Linked DNA regions of Solanum lycopersicum. The main gene of each other region encodes a partner of the protein of the gene in region 2 in a complex. Links are inferred from orthologs where the notes say so. Each region holds a gene or a part of one and is shown on either strand. Other genes may lie near its edges.

What was found.
Region 1: proteasome subunit beta type-4 (region 2) and proteasome subunit alpha type-4 share a complex: the UniProt entries of both Arabidopsis thaliana proteins name them as parts of the 20S core complex. The link is inferred for Solanum lycopersicum from reciprocal best matches to the Arabidopsis thaliana genes PBG1 and PAC1.
Region 3: proteasome subunit beta type-4 (region 2) and proteasome subunit beta type-1 share a complex: the UniProt entries of both Arabidopsis thaliana proteins name them as parts of the 20S core complex. The link is inferred for Solanum lycopersicum from reciprocal best matches to the Arabidopsis thaliana genes PBG1 and PBF1.
Region 4: the proteins of proteasome subunit beta type-4 (region 2) and proteasome subunit beta type-6 are in contact, whole or in part, in a cryo-EM structure (PDB 7QVE), measured with the Spinacia oleracea proteins. The link is inferred for Solanum lycopersicum from reciprocal best matches to the Arabidopsis thaliana genes PBG1 and PBA1. Residues at the interface, in XP_021842182.1 of Spinacia oleracea: Ser48, Thr49, Leu50, Arg51, Tyr52, Lys53, Ser54, Phe157, Phe176, Glu177, Val180, Arg181, Glu184, Arg188, Leu191, Tyr192, Arg193, Asp194, Arg195, Ser196, Lys200, Ile203, Lys205, Thr213, Ile214, Ser215, Pro216, Pro217, Tyr218, Ser219; in XP_021843991.1 of Spinacia oleracea: Arg32, Ser34, Gly36, Val37, Tyr38, Val39, Ala40, Asn41, Arg42, Ala43, Asp45, Gln49, Tyr55, Tyr147, Ala178, Arg179, Asp180, Gly181, Ala182, Gly185, Val186, Arg188, Arg199, Phe201, Pro203, Gly204, Asp205, His211, Glu212, Glu213.

The regions. Positions count from the first base shown.
Region 1 is NC_090801.1:61,745,543-61,752,299, forward strand, and holds proteasome subunit alpha type-4, read left to right. Parts: upstream 1-3,905; coding exon 3,906-4,652; 3' UTR 4,653-4,793; downstream 4,794-6,757. UniProt on the Arabidopsis thaliana protein: The proteasome is a multicatalytic proteinase complex which is characterized by its ability to cleave peptides with Arg, Phe, Tyr, Leu, and Glu adjacent to the leaving group at neutral or slightly basic pH.
Region 2 is NC_090810.1:59,171,989-59,180,277, forward strand, and holds proteasome subunit beta type-4, read right to left. Parts: upstream 5,000-8,289; 5' UTR 4,854-4,999; coding exon 4,848-4,853; intron 4,761-4,847; coding exon 4,696-4,760; intron 4,091-4,695; exon of another isoform or gene 4,034-4,090; coding exon of another isoform or gene 3,981-4,033; intron 2,774-3,980; coding exon 2,697-2,773; intron 2,473-2,696; coding exon 2,343-2,472; intron 2,250-2,342; coding exon 2,090-2,249; intron 1,994-2,089; coding exon 1,808-1,993; intron 1,129-1,807; coding exon 1,015-1,128; 3' UTR 804-1,014; downstream 1-803. UniProt on the Arabidopsis thaliana protein: Non-catalytic component of the proteasome, a multicatalytic proteinase complex which is characterized by its ability to cleave peptides with Arg, Phe, Tyr, Leu, and Glu adjacent to the leaving group at neutral or slightly basic pH.
Region 3 is NC_090801.1:64,276,959-64,285,386, forward strand, and holds the start of proteasome subunit beta type-1, read right to left. Parts: upstream 4,834-8,428; 5' UTR 4,676-4,833; coding exon 4,629-4,675; intron 4,538-4,628; coding exon 4,430-4,537; intron 1,376-4,429; coding exon 1,294-1,375; intron 1-1,293. Other genes in the region: abscisic acid 8'-hydroxylase 3-like, read left to right, coding at 6,660-6,898, 7,219-7,543, 7,814-7,963, 8,161-8,412. UniProt on the Arabidopsis thaliana protein: Non-catalytic component of the proteasome, a multicatalytic proteinase complex which is characterized by its ability to cleave peptides with Arg, Phe, Tyr, Leu, and Glu adjacent to the leaving group at neutral or slightly basic pH.
Region 4 is NC_090806.1:8,738,132-8,746,616, reverse strand, and holds the start of proteasome subunit beta type-6, read left to right. Parts: upstream 1-2,895; 5' UTR 2,896-3,058; coding exon 3,059-3,170; intron 3,171-3,559; coding exon 3,560-3,636; intron 3,637-6,392; coding exon 6,393-6,448; intron 6,449-6,783; coding exon 6,784-6,856; intron 6,857-8,485. UniProt on the Arabidopsis thaliana protein: The proteasome is a multicatalytic proteinase complex which is characterized by its ability to cleave peptides with Arg, Phe, Tyr, Leu, and Glu adjacent to the leaving group at neutral or slightly basic pH.

The DNA.
Region 1 (6,757 bases), on a different chromosome or scaffold from region 2:
TGAAAATAAAGTTTTTTAGTTTATGTAATTCTACCTAATTATGTAATTTGGATTCAAAAATAATAATAATTAAAGTTACGATGATGAAGTACATTAATAAAACTTTTATTTTCTAAAAGAGCGTGAGTAGATATGGATTTTCTTTTTGTAATAAATGATGAATCTCAATTGAAATTAGTAAAGAACAACGTACTTTAATGTCGTTTGTTTTATAATTTAGCTGAATCGCAAAAATAGAGTTATTATTTATTCTTTCATAACATAAGAAAACTCCAATCATCTTCAAGAAATGTATTGACGTATTTCTAAGAAATATAACTTATATTTTGATTGTCTTATTATATAATCATTTTTTGTTTTAACAAGTTATATTAACGGCTTTAAGGCTAACAATTCTCGAAGATGAAATTTGAAATATGGTATATGACAACTTCCCTAAACTCAAATTCTTGAAATTATGTAATACCCTCGTTTTAAATCAAACTACTTCAAACTGATTCTTTTGTGACCTTCGTAAAAGTTTGAATAGAGATAAAATTTCAACTCAAATTAATCTAATTTCAACCTTGACAGTACTGGCTATATTTTAAATATATTTTGAAAAAAACTGAATATCACTTAAATAGTAGGTTGAAAACTGGCTACCAGACGCAATTCCTACTTTAGGCCTCAGCGGACACCCGACCCGACCCGTATAAAAAACTTGCGCAATAAGACTAGCTTCACTCTTCGTCTACATAAAGAAGAGAAAACCTCTCGACTCTTTTCATTGCGCTTCTCTTTAGATCTCACATCTCAGGTATCTTTCTATATCTTCAAATGGCGATTTTTTTTTCCTATTACTGATGCGTTGATCGATATAAACCCTCTCCCTTTTCCCAATTTCTTGGTATTTTTCTTGATTTTTGTAATGTTCTTTTTGTTGAACTCAGTGATGGGTTTGTGTTATTCTATTGATAAGTAAATTAGTTGAACTTCTTGGGTTATATTTTCAAGAAAATGTATGGAAAATTTTGGGTTTTTTTTGTGAAAGTAGGAAGAGGGTTTACATGAGAAGGAGTTTAATTGATCTCTTGCAAGTAAATGATAATTGACGACAAATATTTTACCGGTGGCGCGATAAGTTCATTTCTATAGCAGCTCTGGTTGTAAAGAATTGTTTTAATTAGAAAAAAAAGAGAGACAAATTTCATTAAGACGTGCAATGGAGACAATTTAGCTTATGGGTGTCACTAGTTAGGGAAGTTGGGTGGGTATCTGGTGTTTATGAAGTATAAGTTGCAGAATATGACTAGGGTTTTAACCCCTGCCCAGGAGCTCTCGCACCTTTTAGCTCCATTGGTGACTCGAACCCCAACCTTAGGGTTGGGGGTTGGAGGGTGATTGCCATGTGAGCAACCCGTCCTGTCGTATGACCTGATTTAGGTAGTTATGCCATGGTGTTTTTGGTGTATATTTGAAAGATAAATTACAGCACCACACAGTGTTATAGGAGGGTTTTGAATGACTGGACCAATTTATAAAAATTTCTTCATTTGGAATGTCCAGTGAGGTCTTCTCTAGGATGGCTTTGAGTGTGGAATTCATGTATACTGTATTGAATAACTGTACCGACCTCGGTTGAAGATTCAAGTGTTAAAAAGGAGATAGATCTAGTTAGTGTTTGTCTACATAGATTCTTCCCCTTGTAGTAAACAATAGTTCCTTAGCAGTTAAAGGCATGTTTAGTCTAAGTTGTAAGATTGCTGCAGTGTTTACTGAGTTTTAATACTATACCCACTCGGCGTTGTTAACTCTCGATTTTATAGTTCCTTTCTTTATCTCTCCTTTTTGAACAATGCTCTTAGATTTTTATTGGAATATAAGGAGTGAAAGTGTAAATGTACCAAACTTTAGCCTTAATCTACAGAAACCTAATATAAGATTTCTGATCCTGACAGCTAATAGTTTACCTTAGCTGCCTTAAATCCCTTCTTACAATTGGTCCTTTTTATAATCCCCTGTTCACCTTTTACAAAATTTTTTTTATCTTGGAGCAACATATAACCAATCTCTGGTAAACATTTGATGTTTTCTTAATTGAAATCTAGGATAATATTTAACCTTGGATCACATTGCTCCTGATTTGATTTCTTGAGAAGTTATCTCCGTCTTTGTACCAAGTGCAGACTGTATCCTGCATCCAATTAGTATACAATTGAGCTACTCTTAAAATCTTTTGGTTTCAATTGCAAGAACTGAAGTTGACACTGGTGGTACTAGCCTCCAGTCTGGCAATTGTATTTATATTACTCTAGTGGGCAAGCCACATCTTAGTGTTTCAAGTAAGAGTTATGACAAAGTGATTTGTCTTCTTTGCTTTTGCTACTAGTAAAATTCTACCAGAACCTACCAAATTCATGAGTCTGCAATCACTCAAAGTAGAGCTCTTCCCCACAAACAATTCTCCCTCCAAGTTTTTCACATTTCCTGTGGAACTTAATACGCAATAATGCTAGTGCTTTTTTCTTTTTGATTCAAATCCTAAGAAGTTGCACCATAAATTCTGTTATGTCCCCAGTCGTAATTCCTTTTGGCTCATTGCCGTGACTTGTATAATCTCTTCCATCTGCAACTTGCATTGTGATCTTGTTGCCCACAATGGCCTTGCTAATGATTCCCTTTTCGACAAACTGGACAGTATTTTCAGAAGGTTCCTTGCCTTGTTGGATCTCAAAAGGTGCTGGACTTGATGAAAATAATCCTCCTAATAATCATTGTTTAATCTGTCATTATCTCTTTTAGCTGCCCATTCTGTCTTGAGTTCCCATCGTTAATGAAGTGAAAGTGGTAAACAAGCTGCTTTGGTTGGTACCACTAAGAAATTGTACAGTTTGATGCCTACCAAAATAAAACGGAAAGAACAGACTTGTTATTTTCTTAATCTATAGCAGATAAATATAGATTAGCTGACACTGACCTCAAGTTAGAAGAAAAATAGAAAAGAAAACTCTGATCTAACTAATGATTTTTATACTTGTTATCTTCTGGCAATCCTTGTTGCTGCTCCTTATTTAGCTAACTGCATATTCAAGTTTTTTTCAGTTAAAATTTCTTCTCTCTAAATGTAATTCATTCACATGCCATATGGGCCTTAATTTTGGAATGCTAAACTGCCCCTGTTAGTTTGTTTTGAGAAGTACAGGGAAGGGTTAGCAGTTAGCACTCTGAAACATTTTTTTATGAGATAAGGAATTTCATTAAATGACATCATGAAGTGTCAGCTCCAACTTCATCTTGGGTATGTATTTTGCACTACTTGGCATGTATTGGACTATGCCAAACTCCTGACTTATCTGCTGCATAGTTGAAACAACGAGGGTCTCAAAAAGAAATTCCAAAAAACTTGGAATACTATTTCTCAGGCCATTTGGTGGACAGTTGGCTTGAAAGAAATAGCAGAATTTTCAAGGGAAAAGAAGAAATATACTTAGCCTTGAACACAAACGTATTTATTTGCTAGCTTTTTGGTGAAACCTGGTTCTTGTACATGATGTAGATGCAATGTTAGATACAATCGAGGAGTTGCACCTTCTTTATTCATGCATTTGCTTAGTGCAAGCTCATCTATGAAATCTCTTCTTACCAGTATCACTGTACACACACTTCAAATGTCCACAAGTTTATCCATACAGGTGGGAAGTCCCTGAGGTTGACAATTTTCAACTTCAACTCTTGTGTGGACTTATATATTGTTTCGACTCAGTTTTGTATCTTTCTTTCTGTTGTGTTTGCCAACATGCTCGTTAGTTAGACTTATTCATGGGAAGGGTAAAAAAATGAACCATGTTTTATGTGCTCTGAAATTTTTATCTAACTAGCTCAAGTTATGTTAATTTATCAGGTATTCTGCAGTAAAGAAAAAAATGTCACGAAGGTATGATAGCCGAACAACAATCTTCTCCCCAGAAGGTCGTCTCTACCAAGTTGAGTACGCAATGGAGGCTATTGGAAATGCAGGTAGTGCTATAGGCATCTTGTCCAAGGATGGGGTGGTGTTGGTAGGTGAAAAGAAAGTTACATCTAAGCTGCTTCAGACCTCTACTTCAAGTGAGAAGATGTACAAGATCGATGATCATGTGGCATGCGCTGTAGCTGGAATTATGTCTGATGCCAACATTCTGATCAACACAGCCAGGTTTCAGGCTCAGCGCTATACGTTCGCTTATCAAGAACCCATGCCAGTTGAGCAACTTGTCCAGTCACTATGTGATACCAAGCAAGGTTACACACAGTTTGGTGGGCTTCGCCCTTTTGGTGTTTCATTTCTCTTTGCAGGTTGGGATAAAAACTATGGCTTCCAACTTTACATGAGCGACCCAAGTGGAAATTACGGTGGTTGGAAAGCCGCAGCAATTGGAGCAAACAACCAGGCAGCTCAATCAATTCTTAAGCAGGATTACAAGGATGATATCACAAGGGAAGAGGCCGTTCAACTTGCTCTTAAAGTGCTTGGTAAGACAATGGACAGCACTAGCCTCACTTCGGAGAAACTTGAACTTGCTGAGGTATTTCTCTCTAACGGGAAAGTCAAGTATCAAGCATGCTCTCCCGAAACTCTGAACAAAATGTTGGTGAGTGCTGGACTGACTCAACCTACAGTAGAAGAATAGTCGTAGAATGCCTTCCAATCTAGCATATGACATCATTGAACTCTCTCTACGCCATGTGTGACATGTTGTACTAAAACTAAGTGGTGGATTTGTCTTCTTACAACTGCATGCATATTTATGTCAAATGCTTTCCAGTTTGAATTTTGTTTTGGATTTACTTCATCATTTGTTGTTATCGTGGTACTTTACTGCATTTGACATGTTTGTGCCTCTGTTTGCCTGAGAAAGAAAAGAACACACAAACATACCCTCCATCTTTCTCAATTTTAACTTGATGCAACTACCGTAGGGGAAGAAGGTGAGATCTTTTCATCTTGTAGCTATCCATTTTAAACATTATTTCCTTCCTCCGACTAGTAACTATTTAGTCCTCTAAAGCTCTGAGGATTTTGGTTATGTAGTGGTGATTATACCAAAGCAGAAGGTATGATGATTATTCAGAATGGAAGGAATAATGTGCAAGTAGAAGGTATGTTTATCATTTTGATCGCATGAATGTCTACCTAAAGCTTATCATCATGACCTCTCACAAAAATGTAAAAACAGTTACTTTGGACATAATATCAGATAGTTTCATATCATAATATAATGTTAACTATTACCATTTACAATTACAGAAATATATACAAAGTGTTAACTCCTGCATGCTCTCAATGCCTATTTTTTGAAATTATCTGAGGATTTGCTTCTAGTGAAAACAGATTCCATTTCTTCCAAAGACTTTCCTTTAGTCTCAGGGCACATGAAATAGAAGAAAATCAAAGCCACCAAAGAGACTGCAGCAAACATGAAAAAAGCACCTCCAGTTGTAATTGCTTCAGAAATGGACAGAAAACTCATAGAAACAGTAGCATTCGTCAACCTATTAACAGCAACACCAATACCAGCACCCAATGCCCTATACCTAAACCCAAGTAACTGGACCAAGACCAATATTGAAAAACCATAAGTTGTAACTATACTAAGTTGAAAAAATGTAATTAGATAACCAAGTAAAATAATTTCTGGTAGAGATGTTAAAAATCCACGTGACGATGGTGATGAAACTTCTGCTGAATAAATAGGTGCTATCATAAGTGCAAATCCAACACCAACACCAGCAATACATCTTCCAACTAATAATGCTATATAAGATGGTCCATATCCCATTAAAATTGATCCAATCATGAAAATTACTGAAGCTACAACTATAGTGTTACGTCTTCCAATTTTATCAGATGTTCTTCCTGCACGAAGTGACCCAACTAAAGCACATAAATTTAGAATCCCTGCTAATATTTCTGTTTTGGCATTCTTTTTTCACATATATCATTGCTCCACTCATAACACCAGTATCTGACAAAAAAAAAAACATAAAATTATTGTTAGAACATATTAACACTAATACTTTTTCATTTCTTATCGATTATATATTCTTCCTTTGTTCTCCATTTATTATGTGACACAATTTGACTTGACATAAAAAAATCCGTGATCTAAAACATCTGTTGGCCATTTAAAAGGGTAAACAGAGGTTTTTAAAGTAGAATTGTTTTTAATTATAGAAATATGACATTTTAAAAAAAAAATTAACAAAAAGTATGTCACGTAAATTGAGCCAGAGAAAGTAATTAATAATAACGATGCTAGTTACAATCAAAAGATATTTACAAAATCGTACATCGTTAGCTCAATAATTCCTTGACATGTGAATGTAGAACTTTTTTCATAATAAGGAATGTTTTAGCTCCTTAATGAACTGAATTTAAATTAACCAAGACACTATATTTCGAACTTCGGACAATTTGAAGTAATGAAGAATGAAACTTACCATAACCAAATATGATAGATATCATAGAAGCAACAATTGCACAAGCGCATGCATATTTGTTAACCTTTGTAGGATTTTCTCCACTATCATTCTCCACTATCATTCTCCCAAAATAGAAATTGGTCTTTGTTTTTATAAATAAATCATCCAAATAAGATAGTAAAATTCTATAATATATATTTAGATATCTATAGTCAAAAAACAAATCCAATTTCTATCCTAGTCCTTCTTTACTAAAATATGTGTTTTCCAAAAACAAAAAAAAAGGTACATAATCTGTAAAGAATTAATACTA
Region 2 (8,289 bases):
TAGCTAGTGAGAGCTTCTATCTAATTTAATGGAACATCTTCATGACTCGTTTTTTTAAAAATCTGTTTTACAAAAAATGACTTACTGATAATATACATTGCTCACCCCATCCCATACCTCACAGTTGGACCAATTTTTGCAATAATATTATGGGTTATCATGAACTGGATCAAAATCATTCTCACCGAGTTCACAAGTAGTCTCATTTTTCTTATCGGATTCAAATAAGACCAAAGATTATGAAAAGCCGATCCAATAAAACAACTCAAAAGATAAAAGAAGTATCGTTGATCTCTTCACGTTCATTCCTAGATCAAAGTAGAATTTCATCTTACCATTGCATTTAAGAAAACGTAGGAAAGATTTCTATAATGAACAATAATACTCTAGTTAAAAAATCTTCATGTATCCTTTTGACATTGAAAAACCTTTTGAAGAGAATTTGCACAAGCATGGACTAAGGTGCCCATAACAATGAGATCGCAAATGATGCTTAATAATTACAATTGTAATATTAAGCATCTCTTGGAAGCTCTGTATTGCTCAATATCTCTGGATAAGTGTCGATAACATAGCTCAAACTCTTCAAAAAGATGTCTCCGACTATGTTGATCCTCCAAAAATAGAGCATTTTTAGAGGATCAAACACTTGAATGTGACAAAATTGTCAAGAGTCCAAGCAACGCAACTTAAAAGTAGGTAAACCAGGGGCGTGTACTTCTGTATGAACTTAGAAAATATATCAACCAGGCGAAAAACGACCACGTTCCATAACTGAGATGAGCCATGGCATGCCAAGTAACTTTGGAAGATAACAATCTCACATAGTGAAGGAAAAGTGAAACATCAGGAGACATGTCTTTTATAGTTTACATTAGGAAAAAACCTAGAAAGACCATAGACAATTCAAATTACACGAGTTCTATCAAACATCACTTCCATGAAAACAGTTCTATAATCTGCAACACATTGTGTAGTTCCTTCATCAAACCTAGTCGACGCAGCAATCAGTTATTACCATGAACCCTCAGCACCAACGGTTGGATTCTGGAAAGCAGAGAAGTTCCAGAAAGTCTTCAATGAGTATGGCTGAGAAATTGTTACTCCCTCTTCTGTGATTTTTGCAATCTGCAAGTCCGAGAAACATCAGAATAAAATCACAAAGAAAGAGCAGACAAATCTCACAACTATATTATCTAAAATGAGCTTGATGATGAATTCTGTATCAGAAAGGAAATCTATACATGCAATCATCACGTTCACCTCCATTATTCAACAACCTTACCATTATTTTTTTCCCATTTCAATCTAAAGTACAAAAACAAGAAACCAACCTTCAGTCAACCACAATAGATATCTACATTGAGCAGATCTAGGGAGCAAATGCTATGGAACTTGAAGATCGAAGTATAAGCTCTTCTGCTTCCGCTAGAGCACACTAAACCTGTCTTATTGTTCATATCTAGTAGAGAAATACTTCCTTGCGGCAATATAATTAAAAAGGATGATTGGTGCCAGAAATTAGAAATAAATAGTGGTAGATTTTATTTTTTATTCTAGAAAAGGAAAGCAGTGACAGATTATGAAAATGCAGAATCAGACTATAGTCTTGGTACTTGTAGGAATGACAACAGATGCAAAATTCAGAGCTATAGACCCACAATTAAAACTACAATTACCAGGAAACTCATAAACTATAGGTTTGACGAAAGAAGTTCCGGGAACACATCTTGGCAAATTAAGAGGTTTCATTTTGATTAGTTCTAAAGCACTGACTTTCTACCTAAACCCCAGGAGGACTCTGTACCTGAAGCTTGTTGACTGCAGATCTGTCTCGATACAAAAGCACACGCATACATTTCTCCAATAACTTAACGCCCTCTTCATAACTCAAATTTTCATGCCATTCGTCACGAAGAATGGGCCTCGCAAGATGATTCCCAAATCCAGTAGCCACATGGTTGTCCTCGTAATGCACACCAATCATACTAACCTAAGGAATAAAAGAAAAAAACACAAGCATTATCAGTAAGGGATGCAATTGAGACGATCTGTCTAAAATTAAGCAAGACAGTGTATTGTGTTTTACTGTTCCAAGATACTTCTGTCCATTTTTTACTCCACCAAGAACAAGTGAATTCCAAAGTGGGTTGAACTTGTTGCGACGATTATACATCACACGTGTTAGGTAGTTATGCACTTCTTTGGGACCCAAGGAGTTCCCATCATCCCACATGTTGTCATACAAGCTGCATGCATTTACGAAGCATTGAATACCAGAACTGTTGCCCATCAAAAATTATATAAACAATAACAATAAACAAGAATAAGGACAGACGTACATAAGCTCATCAAGGTACTTCATTATCTCCTGAAAATCACTTATTTCACCACTTGCACCAAGAAGGGAGTGTTTTCCCACTGGCTTTAATCGATCCACACTCTTGTAACGTATCGTTGAACCATAGGAACCTGAAAATGGAAAAAGAAAGAAGATGACAACACATACTACATTATCTCTAGCATGTATTGGAGGGTTTATTTAACATCAAATAATATTAAAATGACAAAAGAGAACTTCTATAGGAGATCTTTCAATTCTCTATCCCTTTTCCCTAGTGACGGAACCATGTGATATACTTTTTTGAAAAAATCGGAGCACTGATTGGGACAAAATCTTTGATATAGAAGCTAACCTCCCATGTCAGCTGCCAAGAGAATACCATCTTTGTACTTGATGCCGACAACTGATGTCCCAGTCACATATGGAAACCTATTGAGAACAATACAAGTTAAAATTGCAAACATCTCGAGCACAGTAAGGAATTATAAAGGAAAATTACATAAATACAATCTCATTGCACGAGTGAGCATGTATCCATAAGGTAAAAATTTGCTGCATGACATTGTTGGTACTCTTAAATTTAACTACATCTCCCATGCATGCAAAGGATATGGTACATACAAAGAGCTGCACATCTCTTCCAACATGCAGATACTCTCATTCAATAATTTTAATCTGTTATATGACTCTCCTTCTCACTACAACAATAATAACAACATACCCAGTGTAGTCCCATAAGTAGGGATTAGAGAGGATACGATGTACGCAGACCATGCCCCTACCTTTGTGGGTAGAGAGGTTGTTTCCGATAAACACTCGGCCCTCCTCATTAAAGGATTTTGAGACCATGCCCCTATGTTTGTGGGGTAGAGAGGTTGTTTATAAACACTCAGCCATCCTCACTAAAGGATTTATACCTAGTTCATCCTCTGTAATGCTTTTATTTTCACTTTTTAGCGTGTATGAAGATTAAGTCCAACAACTTAAAAGCATAAGCAGCTTTAACATCCCAGTGAAACCCACCGGTAAGAGCATAAGCAGCTGAAACAGGTAAATACAGTTTGCAAATTCCTTTCTGGACCAGATATCCGCAAAGTTATTTCTGGCCCAAATGTATTTGCAAACTCCTTTGTGGTCCAGATGTATCCTAGGAAGCAAAAATCCAAGAGCCACGCAAGATGAGATCTCAACTTAACCCCGCACCTCATTCCTTCTACTCGGGAAAACAAAATTACAGGTTCATAATACCATAAGCCACAGACTGAGAACTCCAGTAAAGATCAAAAATCAATCATTTGGCATGGCAGAAATGTTCCGTGAAAAATGTTGATGTTGTTTTTCTGAAATAAACTATTTTCAGCTTAAAGGGAAATAGATGTTACTTATGAGCATAAGTCCTTTATAAGTATCGAAACACTTACTAACATCATTTTGCTCAACTAGTGCTTAAACATCGTAGTCAATCTTAAATACTTAAGAGTATCACTAGAAAATATCCGCATAAACATATATTCTTCCATCTTGTATTACTACCATATGTCACATACTTTCACACCTAACCAAACACCGACAAACCATCCAAAACATATTTTTTTCACTAAAAGAAACTTCTTTTCTAGTGAAAACATATTTCTACCTGGAACATTTTCCTCCATATCCAATGCTCTTCACCAGCATCCTTATGTACATAGGTACACCTAGGATTAGATGTTAATGGAATCAGGATCGAAACCCTTTTGTGTTACTGCATCCTAAATTAATAATGTCAACATATTAAACAGATCTTTTAAAGACAAATCCAAGGTCTGGAAACGTTGGACGAAAGCTATTGGAATAAGCAAAACTCGTACCTTCTACTCTACCCCCGCCTATGTAAATGTTTATAAATCAACCAAATATGCCTAAAGGCTTCCCCACCACACAGAGGAAAGTTCAAAAACTCGCCTGAAAAGCATTACTTTTGCTGGTAACTCTTGCAGTAAAAACATCCTTAAACATACATATTAACATAGAGTTAACTTAAGCCTAGCTAATAGCATCCAGAAAAACACTCAACAACAACATTACCCAATGTAATCCCACAAGTCAAGTCTGGGAAGCGTAGTGTGTACGTAGACCTTACCACTGCATTGGGATGGTTTCCACAGACACTCTGCTCAAAAGAACCACTAGGTGAAAATACAGGTAGCGAACAAACCAGCCAGCTGAGCTACTAAAACTATGTGCCTCTTCTATTTTATTTTATTTTTGTAAAATAAGAACAAAAACCCTATTTCGTAAAAACATCAAACATACTACAAATCAGATCTGTAAAATCTCATAACACGCAAAGAGTGGAAGAGAGCACGTACTGTGTTCTCTGAATATCAGATTCGGGACTCATTAAGCTACTTTTAGCCGGAGCTGAATCCATCACCTGAAAACATCACCATTTCCACACAAAAATTACAAAGAATTACAACAAAATTCTTCGATTCAACGCGAGATAACACAAAAAACTTACATTCATCGTCGGAAATCGGAATAGTTGATCTTCGATCGGAGAAAAAATAGCAGAGTAACAACACTGATCGGAGTTTTGTTTGTGCACTTTTCCCTTTGCACAAGAAAAGTTGGGTTTGGGCTGAAAGTGAAATGGGCCTCCGTTTTCGGGACTTTCTCGTGTATGATTTGCAATAGATAGCCACTTTTAAGGATATCATTTAAAATCTACTCAATTTTTATCTAAAGTATTTAAATTTTAACCCAATAAGAGAAAACTTCATACATTGCTTCCACTTTCTATATTTTTCTATTTCAATGTACATGTATTACATTTGAACCGATACATACGATATGATGGGAAGTTTCTAGATAGGTAATGCTAGTTTTACTAGATCTATTTTTTTTACGACGGATATTATTCTAGAAAATATTTAATCGATTGTGCAATGTTACGTTTTTTACAAAATTATAATTTTTTTTATTTTCATGCTTGAAATAATAGAAGTATAGGGATAAAATTTAATTTTTATTCAGTTTGATATAAAGTTAAGTTTTGAATTGAAAATGTCAAAGTTACTTTACAATTTTAATTTTAAAAGTTGGTAAAGTTTAATTTCAAACATTTGGGATCTAAATTAATGTTTCATACATTTATAATTTAACTTTAGACATTTCGAGGTGAAAATTAAATTTATGAAATTTTGAGATTCATATTTTTTTTAGTGTGGGAAGTCAAACATGCAATTTTTCAACCCTAGACTTTCGAATTGAAATTTGATCATACTAGCGTTAAATATTTTCTGTTTTTTTACTTTGTTAGTTATGTATGATCAAACGTATTTTTTACAATTAAGTTCATATATCTTTGTTAATTTCCTTGAGATTGCATAAATAATTTGTATTTGCATAAATCATCATGTTTGTTTATTTCGCGGGCTTCTAACCACACCAATATGTCATTCAACTTCTTGAAAGTCTTGGCAAGCCGTTGTATCGAATTTCACAAGCGATACAATGTGATGGAAATAAATTGCCTCGAATCAAAGCTAACATGTATGTATTATGTATTTATTATTTCACGTATTTCAAATTCAAATAGTTGAATAATAAATGTAATATGTTATTTTTGTGTACTTTCATTCTCTCCAATTAGGGATGGCAATGAAACGAAATAGATGCAAAACAGCGCGTGTGAATTTTAAGTTATTCATGACGGGTACAAGTTGAAGATTATGCAAGAGATACGAGTCTGTATGAATTTTACATAAATTTAAATAAAATCTAAAAAAAAAGTCACTCTAATTATGTATAAATATTGAAAGCTACTATGATGGATAAAGTTGAAATATAAATCATACTTCGTGTTTATAAATTATAACATAGCCATGAAATTTAATGACTATTATGATCAAATTATTCAAACCGTACAATTTGTAATATTTTTATAAGTACGCTTTTCCTTTTTTAGAGTGGTTCATTAATAGAATGGTCGTGTTTTGATTCATCAACTACTATTTATATCTTTACAATCCACAACCAAAATTAATAAAAATCATTAATATTCAGTGATGGTCTTTACATAGGATTGAAAATGAAAAAATATTTTATTAACTTCTACGAGTTAAGCGTCAATCCCTTTTGCTCACCTTGTTATCAAACCTATCTCCATCGTACTTTTCATTACTCTAGCAAAGGCCTATTTGGCTAGTAAAATTTTTTCATGTACGTTATTGTTAATTTTGATTTCTCAAAATATACAAATATAATAATATAAAAAATAATAATCTAAAAAAATCATAATATTAGAATGCCAAGTTGCAAATCTAACGAGGTTTATCAGAGCCAGTTTCACAATGCGATATGAAATTTCGATTTAAAATTTTGCTTTGATATGCAGTTTGGACTTTTTATGTTCTATGTTTTCTCATAAACATATAAAATTCATAATTATAAAACTATTAATATTGTTTCGACTCCTTATACAACTTATCAAATAAACAAATATAAAACTTGCATAGTGCACTATATAACAGAGCTATTGTGAAAAAATACAAGATTTCTTGATTAAAATTTAATTCAATAAAAAAATCATACAATAAACTGTAGTATACATATCTTTATATAACCCTCTCACATAGTATAGATAAATTACTTTCATTTTAAACTTGCAATTTTAAATTTGCATTTTTCGATCATATGACCAAGAAAATGAAAGAACATCGTCACTTTGAGCTATTTGCTAGTCAATTTGGTTTAAATAAATTTGTTAAAAATAATGAACCTGGTGAATAAAAATAGCAAAATAAGAATTATTTTAAATAAAAATTAATTTTATGTTGGTGAGAATAATCGATATTATAAGATATATAAAAGTTTAAAAAGTAAAATATGAATTATAATTATTTTTTTTACATATGAAATAAATGGCCAATAAATGTAAACTTGATGTTGTTTTTACAAAATATAAACTTGTGGATCATTTTTTGTATTTGAAAATTCTCAAATCATGATTTGAAATTCTCAATACATGTTTTTTTTAGAAAATTAGGAATTTCATCTCATGATAAAAACTCGAAGTCAAATATTCAATCATTAATTTCACATTGCGATATAGAATCACGTGTCCAAACACCTACTTAGGATATAAACTGAATCAATTAAAAGTTAAAACCTAACATCCATTATAAGGATTTTTGGAACATCAAAACATCATTTTTACAATTTATTTGGATGATTATCACTTATTATTTCACCGTACATACTATTATTTTGTGAAATATAACATTTGAATATACTATATTTCATTTTTTATCATCACACATTATCAATTTAAAGGTAAATCTAATAAAAAGTAAAATATACAATAAAATCGCTATAAAAAGAATAAATTAAAAGATAAAATAAAATTATTAAATGATAAAAAAACATAAAAAATAAACGCCGCTAAATCTAATACATAAAACAACATTTTTCTTTATATAATAACAAAAAATAATAATACGATATACAATAATACTTAATCAACAATCAAAACAAACATTATTATATTTTACCATATAGGTAACAACCAAAAAATGTCTTCAAAATTGCTAAATGCACATTGGTCAAATTATTATTTTTAATATAAAGAGACTTCTAAAAAGTCATCGAATCGGACGGCTGAGAAGAGTTCTGATTTTTCAAAACAACCAACAACTACCAAATGAAACCTAATTTGATCCACCTCTTCGTTTTCTTGGCCATTAGTGACGTGGGGACCACCCATCATAAATTCATTTTCCCCACAATTTAACTATCTTTTTCTATTGAAAATATTTACAAAAAATTTATATTAATTTTTTAAACTAAGTAACGAACAATCTCATCATATAAATAAGAGTCAGATTTACGTATATTTTATCATTTTCACATATTGTAATTATAAGACTATGATAGCGTGCGATCGCATATTCTTAAGTAAT
Region 3 (8,428 bases), on a different chromosome or scaffold from region 2:
ATGTAAGGTGAAAATCAATATTTAGTTTCATAAGAAATGAAAATACAACTGAACTAGAAGAATGAAAATTAGATTTGGAAGCAACAGTTGTACCTTAATAGTTAATGCCTTATCCCAAAGAATGTCAGGAGAAGTTCCTCAATTTGCAATTTTTATTGCAAGAAATGTTTCAAAAAATATGATGTACATTTAAGTGAAACAAGCTAAATGATACATGCTTTACACTTTTCCCTGCGTTTAAAATTGTCAACATCTATTGAGCCCTAAAATATAGTATAGATGGGTGAGACCATTTCCACTGAGTTTTGAAACCAAAAAAACAACAGATTACTCGATTATTGAAAAAAGAACCCAAGATTTCAAGTGTTAATGACAGTGTATCTGTGTTGATTAACGTGACTAAGTGATACAAATGAGTGATCATGCTTTCTCGGGGGTGAAGAGGAGAAGCTGTTATGTCGTAGTAATATTCAACAATATGTGAATGACTCAGGAAGACATTTTTGTACCTTTTAGAGGAACAATTTCGTCCTTGATATTGAGTTTAGTTTAAATATCACTGATTTTTACTATTTTCAGGGACTTGAATTGTTTTTCTTTAATTTTATTCACAACTCAAATACATATTTTACTAGTATTTATGTGACTTTTTAGAAAACTTGTACTCATCAATAAGGGACACACACAATGCGCGTACCCAGAAAAAAGGTTCTGATCATGTCATTGATAATTGGAAGAAAAGAAAAGGGCAGTCGGGGCCTAGTGCACTAAAGCTCCGTTATGCGTAGGGTCTGGCAAAGAGCCTGACCACAAGGGCCTATTATAGACAGCCTTAACTTGCATTTCTGCCGGAGGATGTCTCCAAGGCTCGAACCCGTGACTCCGGTCACATTGCAGCAACTTTACCAGTTACTCCAAGCCACCCCATCAATTGGAAGAAAAGAAAACAAGCCTAATTTATGTATTAATTATAACACCTAGAAACCCCATCCCCACCCCACCCCACCCCAATCCTGCCCATAATCATATCCTCTGGCTAAATATTGTAAAGCTCATGGATCAGATCATGGTCACTGTTCTGTCTCTCTATCACATAATGCAAACTCACTTTTGTCCATAAAGACACGCACATCATGCAAGCTAACAATCAAATTTTTGGTTCACAATGAGTTGATAAGTTCATATTGCACAAACAGGTGAAGCACACTGAACGAAGATACAAAACATCCTACATGCTCCATACCAAACTGACTGAAGAGATAAAGGATTAACAAAAACTTCTAGCATTTTTACCAGATGCCTTGATGCCAAAACCTTTTGCAAAGCTCTCACGTCAGCCTGAAATCCTGACGATGCCATCACACATTTATCCGCTCTACATAATCAGACAGTTAACATGCAAAACTGATGTATTAGGAAAAGGTTTGGGTAAAGATAAAAGCAGAGAAACCAACTAGTATCATGACGGAAGGTGAAGATTACATGTATGCATACCCATCTAATTCATTCTCTCATGCTATGATGCATAGGAGGACTGGAGGAGATAATTATACATGAGTTTATTGTTAATCCTGAAAGTGCAAACCTTGTTATACTCTCATCCCCCAAGCAGAGGCAGTTAAAGGCAAGTTGGTTTTAAAACCGCTTCACAAAAAGAATTTCTATATTCATGGGAAAGTTATACTCCCTCTGTCCTTATTTACTTGTCCATATTTCCTTTTATATATGTCCCTATTTACTTGTCTATTTTAACAAATCAAGAAAGGACAACAATTTTTTTCCTAATATGCCCTTATTTAATTCTAGAAAATTTCTAGTACTACTAAGTTGTAATGCATGCTTTTTGGAACCAGAAAATAAGTTTATTATACTTGGGGAGTTGCATAATCTTTTAAGTTAAGGGTATAATTGTAACTAACCTATGATAATACTTGGTGCCTTAATATGTATGATGAAGATAGATCTACGGAAGGCATATCATATGGTAAGTTGGGACTTTATAGAGGAATCTTTAAAGGGTTATAATTTTCCACGAACCTCTGTGCAGTTGGTAATGACATGTGTGACCACTACGAGGTTCACAGTTAAAGTGAATGGAGAAGGCTATGGATATTTTGAGGGCAAGAGGGGGCTTCGACAAGGGGACCCTATTTCTCCTCTGTTATTTGTGTTAGTTATGGAGTATCTTACGAGAATTCTTAGGAGGATGAGTGATCTGGCTGATTTCAAATACCACCCAATGTGCAAAGCAGCAAAACTTACACATTTAATATTTGCAGATGATTTAATGGTGTTCTGCAAAGGAGACACAAAATCTATTAAAAGGGTGATGGAGGCTTTGAAACATTTTAGTGCTGTGACTGGCGTGGAAGCAAATTTGCAGAAATCTAACATATTTCTTGCTGGAATGACTGAGGAAGCAAAGTTGAGAATTTTGAGTAGTACAGGGTTCTCAATGGGTGTACTACCTATACGGTATCTGGGATTGTCACTATCCTCAAAAAAATGGAACAAGGTGGATTGTTACCAATTGGTGGAGAAGATCACAAAGAGAATCACAATAGGTTATTCAAAGCAGTTGTCATAAGCAGGGAGGCTACAGATAGTTAATGCTGTTTTGTTCTCGATATATAATTTTTGGGGGACAGTGTTTATCCTCCCACAAAGTGTGTTGCAGGAAGTAGATAAAAAATGCAGAGAATTCTTGTGGGGAAGCTCAGAAGTATGGAGGATTAAATATCAAGAGCTGCAAATTATGGAATATAGCTGCTATCGGGAAGCTTTTATGGCAGCTGTCAAACAAGAAAGATGTATTATGGGTCAAATGGGTACATGGGATCTATATGAAGGATACCGATAACATTTGGGAACACATACCACCCCAAGATTGTAGTTGGTATTGGAAAAAACTGAATGTTTTGAAGACGGAAATGCTCCAATGGTATCAAGGGGGACAATATGTTTTGACATCAAATGGTGTATACTCCATGACCAGTAGCTACCAAGCCATGCTAGGTGTGCTACATAAATGCCCAGAAGCAGACTTACTTTGGAGCTCTATTATGCAGCCTAGACAGAGATTTATCTTATGGCTTACATACCAAGGAAGACTGCTCACTAAAGATGGACTATAACATATGCATATACAAGTTGAAGATGTCGCATGTGGTTTGTGTCAGCAAGAGAGTGATGAAACACATCAACATTTGTTTCCTGATTGTCATTTGGGGAATGCAGTGAGAGAGGATTTGGCTAACTGGGTGGGTGTGGCAATGCTAAGACGCACAATACAACAAATAGTGGCGTGGATTAAAAGAAGACGTTGGAAACAATTCAAGAAGGAAGCAGTAGCTGCAATGTATGGAGCAACAATTTATTATACCTGGCAAGTGAGGAATTGGAGGCACTATAGGCAGGAACATGTAAATACAAATTTTATCATCACACAAATAAAGAAGGAGTTATTAGTTAGATTAGAAAGAGTACAGGAGTCTAGAAAAGCAAGAAAGTGTCAAGATTTAATACATAGGATGTGTGGTAGATAGTTAATAGCTAGATGTTAGTGTTGTGTTCACTTTACGAAATTGTAATACTTTGTTTTTTTTTTGTATGGTAATATTCACAGTTTATTGCCAAAAAAATATGTGTGACACTTCTAAAGTGGACAACTAAATAGGGATAGAGGGAGTACTTAGCAAATACAGAGTCTATATAGTAAAGGTCAAACACATTTTATACAATTATGAGCCATGGAACTTGATTTTGCCTCTTGGCTAAATTTTCTTTTTAATTACTGACTGCGCCTCGTCAAGCAAACAACGAGAACAGCACTGAAATTAGTTCCATTCGAGATTCATCCAAACAGAGAAATGCAACCCAGGTTTGCATTCTGATCTTTGACTGCTCCCTCTTTTTCCTCTTCCAAACTTGCTACCCACTCCCAACCAGCACCCTCTCACCCATAGTCCAACCCTCTCTCTTTGATTTCTGGCGGCAACTCAATGAGATTTAGTTCACTTCTTCTCCTTTTAATATGTTGAGTCAATAACTAATCTTGAACTGTGATAATTTTATGCTAGTCCGTTTCTTTAAAATTAAAAGTACTAATAGTTCAGTTCATCCATTTGATATGAAAACAAAAATTGAATAACAACATTCTTTTATGACCGAGAAATCCCGCAAGACTAGTGGCGGTTTGAATAATTTTCTCCAATTCCATAGTACAAATCATTATGCATGGGATAAATTTTACCTTGATCAGTATAGAAGAGCAACTTTTACTTTCTACCAAAAAAGTGATTGCAAAGCATGGAGCTTTGTCTATCAAATATATAGATCTATGTACAAGATGTTATTAGCCTACTTCATAGTATTAACTAGCTAAATGGCACAGAAAACAAGTTATTTGAAATAAATAAAAGGAACATACAGTTTAATGATCTTGGAGTAATCGCGAGTAAGAATGTTGTAGCCAGTGGACATGCGAGTATCTGCTGCAATTACACAGTAATCTGCTCCAGCTACTGCCACACAGGTTCTGCAAAGTCGAAACGCGAGGGGCATAAGCACCGATACAGAAAATGAAAGAAAGAAAGCAAAAACAAAAGTAAATATCTACGAAACATTACCCGCCATTGTTGTCATAAGGAGACCAGTTAGCTTGCTGCTTCGTCATGGTGATTCGATGCGTAGAGAGAAAGAGAGATGGATCTAGGGTTGCAGAAGAAGATTCAATTTGAAGGACTGATGATTCGTCTTCAGCAAGTCATCTGACTATGAGCGCTAGATGGGCTTAGTGTTAAAAAGGCCCCCGATTGCTTCCTCATTAGGCCCAATATTCTGTCCACTTAAAAATGGGTTTTTTGTTCCTTGCCCAAGAACATTAAAAGTACTTCTCTGCCCAAGTCTCTTTTGTCTTTCTCTCTTTCTCGTTTTATACGAATTCAAATTGTATATAATTTCTCTTTTTCTCGTTTTATACAATTCGATTCAATTGTATATTTCCTGCTCAAGTCTCTTTGCCTTTCTCTCTTCTCATATTATACAAATTCAAATTGTATATAATTTCTCTCTTTCTCGTTTTATACAATTCAATTATGTCTTTCTCGCTTTCTCGTTTTATACGATTCAAATTGTATATAATTTCTCTCTTTCTCGTTTTATACAATTTGCTTCAGTTATATATGTATAGTGAATTATACATACATAAGTTCGTTATGGAGCGCAATTATACAAACTTTGTTATAGCATACAAATATGAATTTTATGTTTGCTATATATGAAAGTTTTTGTTTTTTTTTGTGTGTGGGTGTGTGTTGTTGTCATATTTCACTTGAAAAAAGAAAAATTAAAATCTTATTAAAAAATAATCATAATTTCAAATCAAATACTCCTCAAATAAGCTTTTTAACTTCAAATTCTCTATTTGGACTTTTTGAGTTTTAGTTAAAATATTAATATATCTTACAAAGTAGAATTAAGGAGGCAGGCAGGCAAGTCTTATACCCTTACTACTATCTTTATGAGATGAAAATGTTTAATTTCAAAAAACCTCAATTGTCGTAACGAACTCTAAAAATATTATGTTGAAGTTGAGAAATTCTAAAAATATTTGGATAGTTGAAAATCTAGTTTAGACTAAACAAAAGAGAGTATGCCGATAACTGGATAGAATTTAGATCACAGCCGAAATGAGTGCACCATCTCATTTGTCACATGTCAAGAATTTGCCCTCTTTTTGGGCATGCCAAAGGATATCAATTGGAAAATGGAGATGTCCAATTTTATCTATAATTTGTACCTACCAATTCATTTTTCCTATATCCCATCTAAGTTCTTTGAATGTCACAATCATATAAACATACCTAATCACTCTTGATACGAGGTGTTTGACCATGAATTTTTTATATTATATTCAAAGTTACTAAATATCATTTTTCAAAAACTATTTTTAATACTTTTTTTTTATAATAAAACATGGCCAAATGAGCAGAACTCATTTGAACACATAAAAAGCATCCAAGACCAAGAGGTTTGCTTATGTTTTTATTTTCTTTTTTGAAGATTGTACTCACTAGTCACTACCTCGTATATGTTTGATTATTGTTCACAAATTTTCATGACTAGCTGTCAATATCATCTTTTAAGTGGTCACTCATTCATAATAATAGACCATGCCGGCTTACCAAGGTACTCACCACATTCGCTAAAAAAATCAATAAATACAACGTGTAGCTTGCTAAACTATACTTATTTAATAAATGTATCTTGACAATTAATTAAATACGAGATTATTAAAAAGACAATAATATAAGGGTATAATTAAAAAAATTTAGATGACACTTAATTTGAAACGGACGGAGGTGGGAGTATATAAGGTTTCAGTGAGCACAAAGAAAAGTAATTGAAAGCAACTTGCATATATTTGTCATCCTTATATTTTATTTTAAGTAGTATCTTAAAAGATAGATCCGTAGCCATTGTGGAAAGCAAGTGAAGACAAAAGATCCAGGCTTATGGCATCTTGTCCTATACTTACATTTGAATTTTCTAATCTCTACCTAATGCATTTTTAAATTATGTCTTAGAAAGTGAGTGCATTACTATATATTACTTATTAGTGATAGTTTGTCCTTTCAGGTTGACATTAAAATCAGAATATGCTTACTATGTCAATGGAAGACATACTTCTCCTACTAAGCAAATACTATGATATTCTTCTAGTTTCAATACTTGTCATAAGTATTACTGCACTTTACTTGTCAAAGGGAGCTAAAAATGCAAAAAGTTGCATACCTGGGAGTTTGGGAATACCTTTCGTGGGTGAAACCTTCGCACTTCTATCAGCAACCAACAGTGTCAAAGGTTGTTATGAATTTGTTAGACTTCGACGCGAGCGGTAAGAAACTCTATTTGTTTTAAATCCATGTAGTTCTAATGCAATATCAAATCCAGCAATTTGCTTTTTTCCATATTGAGATCAAACATATATACTAGCTTTAATTTTATATTGAGATGACGGATACTAGGTCAACTGTTCCAATGATTTAAAAAAAAAACAGAGAAAGTTCATAGGATTTTTATTCAATATTTTTCCCAAATGTTTATAAATAAGTTCCTATGGTTATGATAAAAATCCTACCAAAGTTCCTCCAGCTTATCAGCTATAGTTTATATTGCAAAATTTTGCTAGATTGATTATTGTTTTGTTTAATACAGGCATGGGAAATGGTTCAAAACCAGAATTTTCGGGAAAATACATGTGTTTGTTCCAAGTGTTGAGGGTGCGAAAGCAATTTTTACTAATGATTTTGCTCTATTCAACAAGGGCTACGTCAAATCGATGGCAGATGCTGTGGGAAAGAAAAGTTTGTTATGTGTTCCTCAAGAGAGTCACAAAAGGATTAGGCGCCTACTATCTGATCCTTTCTCTATGAATTCACTGTCAAAATTTGTACAGAGATTTGATGAAATGCTATATGAAAGATTGAAGAAAGTACAAAAGCAAAGAAAGAGTTTCACTGTGCTTGACTTCAACATGAAGGTAACTTGTCTATAATCTATTACTCCACTAGTTTTAATTAGTAATAACACAAAGCTTGGAAAAAATTTAGTCCCTTTTGATTTGTTTGAAACAAGATTTAGTTTTGATACAATAAACCAGGCAGAAAAAGATCGATGTGTCATCCTAATTACTAGATTCTAAGCATACTGTAGGGAGATAGCTATATGTTGAAGTATACAATTACCAAAAGAAATAGTAGTGTTGTGTGCTGCAGTGAGTGTTCGCTGACCATGTGAAATTTGGCTGCAGACAACATTTGATGCGATGTGCGATATGCTGATGAGCATCAAAGATTCTTCTGTGGTAGAACAAATTGAAAAAGACTGCACTGCAATTTCTGATGCCATGCTGTCCTTTCCAGTCATGATTCCGGGCACCAGATATTTTAAAGGCATCAAGGTAGGGGTGACCGTTAATGCAGTGCACTTGATGGCTTGCAACATCTCTGGAAAAAATTACTCACCATGTGAACAAAATTGGACTTGAGGAAACAGATCATTCACTATTAGAAGGGACAAGATAAATAAGATTTTTCGTTTAATATAAGAGAAATTAACATGAACTATTAGGTTATGCTCATCTCATTTTTCGTGCAGGCACGTGGGAGGCTAATGGAGACCTTTAAGGGAATGATAGCAGCTCGGCGCAATGGGAAGGAATATTATGAAGACTTCCTGCAGTCCATGTTGGAGAAGGATTCATGTCCAGCCAATCAAAAGCTTGATGATGAAGAGATCATGGATAATTTGTTAACGCTGATAATTGCAGGGCAGACAACAACTGCTGCTGCAATGATGTGGAGTGTCAAGTTTTTGGATGAGCACAGAGAAGCCCAGAACAGGCTCAGAGTGAGTATCCATATAT
Region 4 (8,485 bases), on a different chromosome or scaffold from region 2:
ATTTTCAACTTTACTTGTCCCATTTTAATTTTCATATTTAAAGTCTAAACTTAAATAGAAAAAAATCTAAATAACAAAGAAGTAAACCCTAAAGATCTAAAGTCTAAATTAAACAAAACTCAATTTAATTCAAATTTGAGCAGCAACTTGGTGTTTGTACTTTCTATTTTATGATTTTATCATTTTATGTTGTTACTTTGAAGTGTGAACAAAAAATTGATGTCTTACATTTTATTGTTAGATGGTTAGTTGTTATTTTGAAGATTGAAGTGTGAAGGGAATAACAATAGTTACTTTATTAAATTCTCCCTTTATTTTTATTCACACCTAAAAACCAATTTAAAAACACTAAACTAAATTGAATCGAAGTAGAAAAAATCAAACCAAACCAATCTAGTTTGGTTTGAATATGATGTACACTTTTTTTAAAATCGAATACCGAAGAACCAAATCAAAATTTGATTAAATCGAACCGAAGAAGCGTACGCCCACCCCTATTCAGAATGTGTGAAGAAATAACATTCACAAAAGATATGCATAAGGTAATAATATATTACTAAGTTGTAATTCATTTAAGCCTCTTTGTTTAATATTGTTTCTTAAATTTGTTGTTTTTATATGATACTCAGAGACTACTTGAGAAAAGTAAGAATAGTTTTACCTTAAGCAAATCAAAGATATTGCACAATATATATTGAGCCCAATTGATGAAAAAGATCAGATAGAAGTGAGCTAAAGAAGTTGTTGTGTGGTGACCTTCATGATCCTCATTTTTAGAGAAGATTTGAAGAGGTTGAAAAGGATTTATTGAACAAATATTCTCCCAAAACATGATGCAAAGCTTATCTAGATGTAATGTGCAAAAATTAGGTTGTGGATAATAGCTCTAACAAAGTCTTTTAGTGCTTAAATATTTGAAGCAAGATACAAGCAAATTATTGAAATGTTGATAGATATTAGAATTGAAATAGAAAAAGACAATTGTGAGGAAGTGGAAAGTTGATGGTTTTAGTCCCAAAAATGACTTTCTTGTATTGCCTAAACTTAAATTTTTGCTAGACATATTTGCCAGATTAACTGAAGTATGACAAATTTATAGTTTGAACTAACACAACAAAGTACTAGTGACTTAAGTTCCAAAATTATGGTACTAGTGTTTTGTAATTGACATATTTACTATGAATGTTGACTTACAATTTTCCTTTAATAGTTTTGGACCATGTTAATTCATTTCAAATTAGTTCTATATTGCAAAGAGAAACCAAATTCGCAACCTCAAATATTTCATCTCAAATATACAAACCTCAAATATTTCATCTCAAATATATAAAATTCAATAGTTATAATCGAATTATTAATTCTTATAAAATTCAATTCAAAAGATAAGATTCTCCTATCAAAGTACTCAATCAAAAAATTCATTGCAATTTTAAATAAATTCTAACAAAATCTAATTCAAAAAATAAGATTCTCTAATCAAATATTCATTGCGATTAAACTAAACACTTGAAAATTCCATACAAGAACATATCTTCCTTGCACTTGGAAACTGCAACCAAGAAAAAAATGTACACTTACACAAAACTATATCACTTGAAAATTGCAAGAACAAATACCACAAACACAACAAATAACAATATACACAGTATCTTCCTTTTTAACAGTGTCACTTTCAATTTCTTGATTTGTTCACGTCGAAGTAGTTTATATTCTCTAACTTCTTCAATTTCTCTTTAAGTTGTCTCTTTCAATCTTAACCACATTCAACAACTCTCTCAAATCTCCATTTTCATCATAGCAACTTTCAGTTTAGACTTCAACAAATATACTTCGACAAAAGAATTTTTTGAAAAACTATCTGTCCATTTTCAAAATCCACAATTTTTAATCTATTTCAAAATAATAGAGAAGAATTTAGAAACATATTAATAAAAACATAAATCATATGAATTGGCTTTTAGTGAAAAACGTACCTTAGGTAAGAACATCTAAATATCTATAAAATTTTCTTCCGGTGTTCAATGGGGTGCTTTAAGTGAAACAACAAGCAAATTCACCATAAAAACAAGTGATCATCATCGAGTTACTAATTGAATCAAAACTAGTTTCAGACATGTTACAAGGTCTGATTTAGTGATTAAAATGGCTGAAATCACAATTAAGATCGCAGAAGCAAAAATTACAAAAGAATCCTTGAAGAACACCATCAAGCTAGGTTTGTCTATCGCAAGTGAGGGGAGAATTCAAACTATTTTGATTTGTTTGTTATATTATTAGGTGTTAGTAATGAGTGGGTTAGAGGTTATTTGAGAGATCTTTTTAATTCGATGTAAATATTTTTTTATAGATTTATGTTTAGTGAATATTTCAAATAAATACATATGATTATGTCATATATCTCACAATTAAAATGAATGACACAAATGATCTACTTTTAAATATAGAGACACTAGTATCCAAGTAGTATGACAAATGATATTCGTATACCATTTTTGATAGTGTAGAAATAAATTCCTCTTTTTTTCCTTAATTAAAAAAGAAAAAAAAGACGTATATATTTCTGAACCATCATAAATGTTATGCAGATAACCTCCGTCATACTTTTGGGACATAGGTTCCCTATCGTTCAAAAACTAGAGCCTATATACCCTTTATATACTAACGGACATTCACGTATCATAATCTTATCCACTGATCCGACATCAGAGCGATAAATAAAATTGCGGCACGTGTCAATATTTAATCTTCCGTTAAAATGACGGACATATAACTCTAATTTTTAAACATCATGGACTTAATATTCCAAAAGTGTGACAGAGGGTATTTACTTACCATTACGATATTTCGAGTTATATTTGTCCTTATTAAAAGATAATAAATCCTTCCTTTTTCCCTTGAGAAATTGTAGAACATATTTCTTACTCTCCAAGACAGTTGCTAATACTAATATACTTAGTCTCCCTTTTTCTTCTTTTATTTTTTCCTTTATTCTCACTAGGGCTTTTCTCTTTCATTTTTCAATTTCTCTCCTCCTTCGATCTCTCAGCTTTACCCTAAGATGGACAAATCGTCGCTCGATGTGGAGCAGCCACACTCCATGGGAACCACCATCATCGGCGTCACTTACAACGGTGGCGTTGTTCTCGGCGCCGACTCCCGTACCAGCACTGGTAATTCCTTTTTGATTTCCTTGTTAAGTGTTTGATTTATTTTTTTCAATTTTTTGTAATGTCGCCGTGGAAGAATGGAATAGCTGAAAATAAAGTATCTGATTGATTGATTTGTTTTTTCAATTTCATAATGTTGTAATGTGAATACTGAAAATAGAGAGTGCCTTTGATTTACTTTTCAATAGTACTTTCTTGATGAGAAGAGTTTCCTTAACAATTGAATTTTTGTTTTTGTATATGGCTTTATTATGAGGATTTGTGAAAGTAAAGCCTTTTTATATGGATTATCTGAGAAAGATCAATTTATTGTGAAAAATGTAGTAGTATTTTTAGTTTGTGTAATCTAAGAACTGCATTTTGTTGGTGTTTTTTTTTTTTTGGAAATTTAGGAATGTATGTGGCAAATAGGGCTTCAGATAAGATCACTCAGCTCACTGACAATGTATATGTTTGTCGCTCTGGATCGGTATGCTACTTTTGCTCTCTCTCTCTTTCTTTTGAAACCCTGGAACTGCTGTCTGTGCTGTGGCATTATCATTCCTTTTCCCCTTTGTTTCCATAAGGGATTTTTGTTATTTGGTTCAAGTATTGGCATGTTGAGTTTTGTATATAAAAGCAAGTCATGAAGTTAAGGATTTATGGGTGTAGTATCTCCCTTCTTTTTCTTCATTTTTATGTTTTAGGAAGGGGTTATAATTTGGCTGAAATTTGTCAGTAATGAATTCAAAACTCTATTTAATTGAATAGCATGTTATCTGCTCTGCAATGATTGACAAATAGAACGTAGAATAACTGAAATGCTAACTATGCCAGGAGATATTAGAACTGAAATAGAAATGACACGGCTAAAAAATTCTCTGAGTTAGCAATGGCGAAACAACTTTCAGTTTTGAACTTTTTTTGTATCAGCAATGGCGAAACACTTTGCAATTCCAATCCTTAAAATTCTTTGGGGGCTTGCTCTTCCTCAAAAAGAATTAAATCTCTTATGGGCTTAGTTAAATTCACAGGGCAATTGTGTATTGTCATTGTGTGTCCACTTAACGTGGTATGTCGCAAGGATAGAGTGATCTGAATTTTATCAAATAGCAAATTGAAATATTCATTTCTCTCTCTCTCTCTCTCTCTCTGTATCTTATCTATTTATGAGTCACTGAACATCTCTTTACTTTTCCTATTAAGGTAAAGTAATTTACCTAATGAAGAGAGGAAAAATGTCTAGTATACAAGCGGTTATCAAAAAGTAGAGAACCTGGAAATAACTGAACATCCTTTTACCTGCTTATCTTTCTATGGTTTTTGGAAATCATGCTCATATTATGCAAGCTAAGTCAGTATTAAAAGCTAGAAAATTTCAGATGTTCATCAATCAATCAACTGGGCTTTATCCAAAACTACTTGGAGTTTAAGCTATATCAATTGATCCTCGGTTTCCATTCTGGTTTGTCTTACTAGAGAAAAATATACTGAATTTTACTTGACAATGGGACCTACTAACATGGTTTCATTAGCAGCTAGTAGCAGAAGTTATAACTTTTTCCGTTGTCTTGCATATTACTATTGCATCCACTCTCTCCGAGGAATGATAAGAGAACTCGGTTTAATAAAAATCTAGATGCCATTTGTCACTTTCTGATGAATTTTATACCACTGGTACTACTTGGTACATAATTATAGGACATCTATAACATAGTGATGCCAAACATGTCTAAATTAAGATGGATAAGGAGGACTCGCAAACCCTCTATTGAATGATTCACAGTTTGAAAATGTCATATATGCTGTTCCTGTAGTTTTCTTGTATGCATACTTGATATCTGTGGATTCCACATCCATGGATGAAAATAATTGGTTGAGGCTTGTTAATTGATTGTTTAATAGGGCTGAAAATGGAAGTAAAAAATGTATTAAATTTGTTTATTTAGTTACTGAGTTTGTCCCAAGTGCTTTAGGTTTGCTTTTAAAATGTTAAGCTTTAAGTTGCCTGGGTAAACCATGTTTCTTTTGTGGTCAGACAAGTATTGAGGTACAATTTTTCCTTTTTGCTCCTCCCCTTTCTCACATTGAGTGGGGGCTACAGTGGTAAAAGAGCACTCGTCGTAGATGTAGTTCATTATCCAATTTGATTAAAAAAACATATGATGCAACCTCTGTATAAATGTCTAGATTATTAGATACCTGGGCACGCATATCAATTTGCATGTAAAATTGTTTCTTTTTTTTTCATTTAGCACAATTTTTTACTTTCTAATATTGTAAGGAATTTGAGTTCCCAATGGGATTTGATTACATAACTAAACATGATGTTAGGTTTAAAGCCTATTCTAATGTAAAATGTTCCACTACCTTTGTGTTGTATCTGCATAAACTGAATCTTTTGGAAGTCAAAGTAGGTTCGAATTGAGAAATGAAATATAGCATGAGGGGATCATAGTGGTAGATTAGATAAAAGATAAAGATATTAATCCTTCTCGTTTATGACCAAGTAATCCCCAAGGACCAACTGCCGCCGCACGGTTTTAAACTTGGTGAATAATGGGCCCAATATGTATTTATCTTTTAGGACAAGTTCATTGGAAATGCTTTTTAAGAGAAGCTTTCTGTTAGTTTTAGAGGTTTTGTTCTGTACCTTTGAAACAACGGATCTGGGCGATGCTCGAATTCAGGTTATTGATGATTTTATTCTTACACCTCCACATATGTACTCTGTAGAGTCTGTCTTGTTCCAAAACATTAGCTTCCTATTGCTCTGTGGTTAATATATGGTTGATATAAATCCTACAGCATATCCAATAGTTTTATTAGCTTATTAGACAAACAAAAGAATGTGTTTTACTTTAAGTTGCCCAGGCTCTCCAAAAATGTTGCAACTCCTGTGTCGTATTATCCAAAAATGCACTACTTCTGAAGGATACGACACATACCCGATGACATTTTTGAAGAGTCCAAGCAACACATGACTTTTACCTACTTCCTGGTCTAGAAAATGACCTCGGAGCGTTATATGCTCTAAGAAGTTAAAAATGCCTGATGCTTTGAAGTGAACTTCTGGTTTAGAAAATGACCTTGGAGCATTATATGCTCTAAGAGGTTAAAAATGCCTTGATGCTTTGAGGTGAACTACCAACAGCTGAGTTGTTTCCATTTCATAATCTGATACTTGATCCTCTATAGCATTCTCAGAGTCCTATCTCACATATTATTTTAATGATTGTTTTGTAGGCTGCAGATTCACAAGTTGTTTCAGACTACGTGCGCTACTTTCTACACCAACACACGTAACCCATCAACTCATCTTGTATTTTTTCAAATGCTTACTTCCTAGATGCAACTATTATGATTTATCTCAGTAACTTGCAAAAGAATCTCCCCTGATAAGAGGCTATTAACTTCAGTGTCTTCATTGATTCCTTCTTTGTTGGGATTACGGAATTGACTAGTTAACCTATACATACTTTTGAAGTTTGAATGAGCGTGCCAAAATTTACCATCTCGTTTAACCATCAATTTTTCTGGAAATTAGATTATGATGAAGTGGCTTGTGTTTGTCACTTATTTAGTCAAATTATTTTCAGGATGCACTTTCTAAGGTTGAAAGTTTTTGTGGATGCAGGATACAACTTGGCCAGCCAGCGACTGTCAAGGTTGCGGCAAGTCTTATTAGGCAAATATCCTATAACAATAAGGTTTGTTTCTATAAGTAGTATACTATTTCTTATTGTGTTATGTAAAATAATTTCTATCATTTTAAATTTTAAGTATCCTATTCTCTTTTTTTTGCGTGTCTGTTAAAGATTTATACAAATAGCTTGGCAATTGTGGAATCACTTTTTTTTTTATTCGCTACAATGCAAGTAGTTGTAGCTTTGAAGCCAGGACAAATAGAGACGGGCTTTAGAATTGTACCTGTGTTGCCGTATTCTGATGCTCATTGTGTAATAGAGAGTTTCTCTTTCAATGCAACTGTCTAAAAGAGATTTTTTTTCACCATTTAAGAATGGTCATCAAAGCTGGAATCAACATTTTCTTGCTTAGGAAGTTGTGAAAACTCAGTGCATCTCCTAGATGCAATTTTTGTGGTGTAATTTGAGGGTTGGATCACCCATTTATCGAATCATTCAAATATTAATGAGTGGTCATGTCCTAAAGAAAGTTGGAATCTGTGAGTGTACTAACTTCAGCTGTGTCTTGCTCAAAAATAGATGTGGTAAACCTGCTCAGTGGAAAAAAAGTAAAAAAGGAATTTTTCAATGCTGAGCTGATGCCATTTAATTTGTTGCTTCTGCACACCATCGGTATTAGGTTTTCGTTTTGTTTTTAGTTATGCAGCTTCCCTACATGATGTGGATGAATTAACTGTCTCTTTTTAATTTAAAGATTAAGTAAGGAATAATTTTATTAATTACAAGATGTGTATCAAATGACAACCTAGAATAGATTCTAGTTGTTAGAACTGACGTTATCTCTATTTTGTTCCTGGGTTATTTTCCTCAAGCATTGCAAATTCCTTCATCTTTTTGATGCCATTAATTATATTTTTACTACATCAAAAGAAAAAAAAAAGAGACAACCTAGAAAAGGCACCTATTCCTCTGTACAAATAGGAAGAACCTAATGGGTGGACACAAAAGAATAATCAATTACATGAGGCTATATATGATCATTGCTCCATTACTTTTAAAGCTCTCCTATTTCTCTCGCCTTCCTTTTCCGTTGATGGTATGTTTTCCTCTCTGTACTACCACATTTAAAGGAACAATGCTCCATGCTCCACATTGTTCTCTTCATCTACTAAAGCCAGCTGAATCAAGCAACTGTCACCAATCCCCAGCCATGTTTCTGATACAAATTATTTGCATTTCACTGTTAACAAGTATTTAGGGGTCGTTTGGTAGCTGACTAGAGTTATATAGGTATTAGTAATACATGAACTAGTTATGAGGAAATTTATGTATTATTTTTATGCAGAGATTAGTTATGCAGAGTTTAGTTATTCCATCTTCTATTCTGCAGAAAATTTTACCTAGATTACCTCATAACTTATTCATGTATTAGTTATGCAGGTTTCTAAATTGCAAACCAAACACCATATTAATTTTATTTATAGTCCTAACTAACTACCAAACATGGTATTATTTATGCAGGATCTAATACTTGTATTATATTTTTCCTAACCAGCTACTAAACGATCCCTTAGTGTACACAATCAAATGGTGGTACAAGTCAGATTTTATCCTTCTGTCCTTGCTAAGTTTTCGTAGTTCCATTTCGACAGATTTTGAATGCATATCATTTGAGAAACCTAATTTATCTGT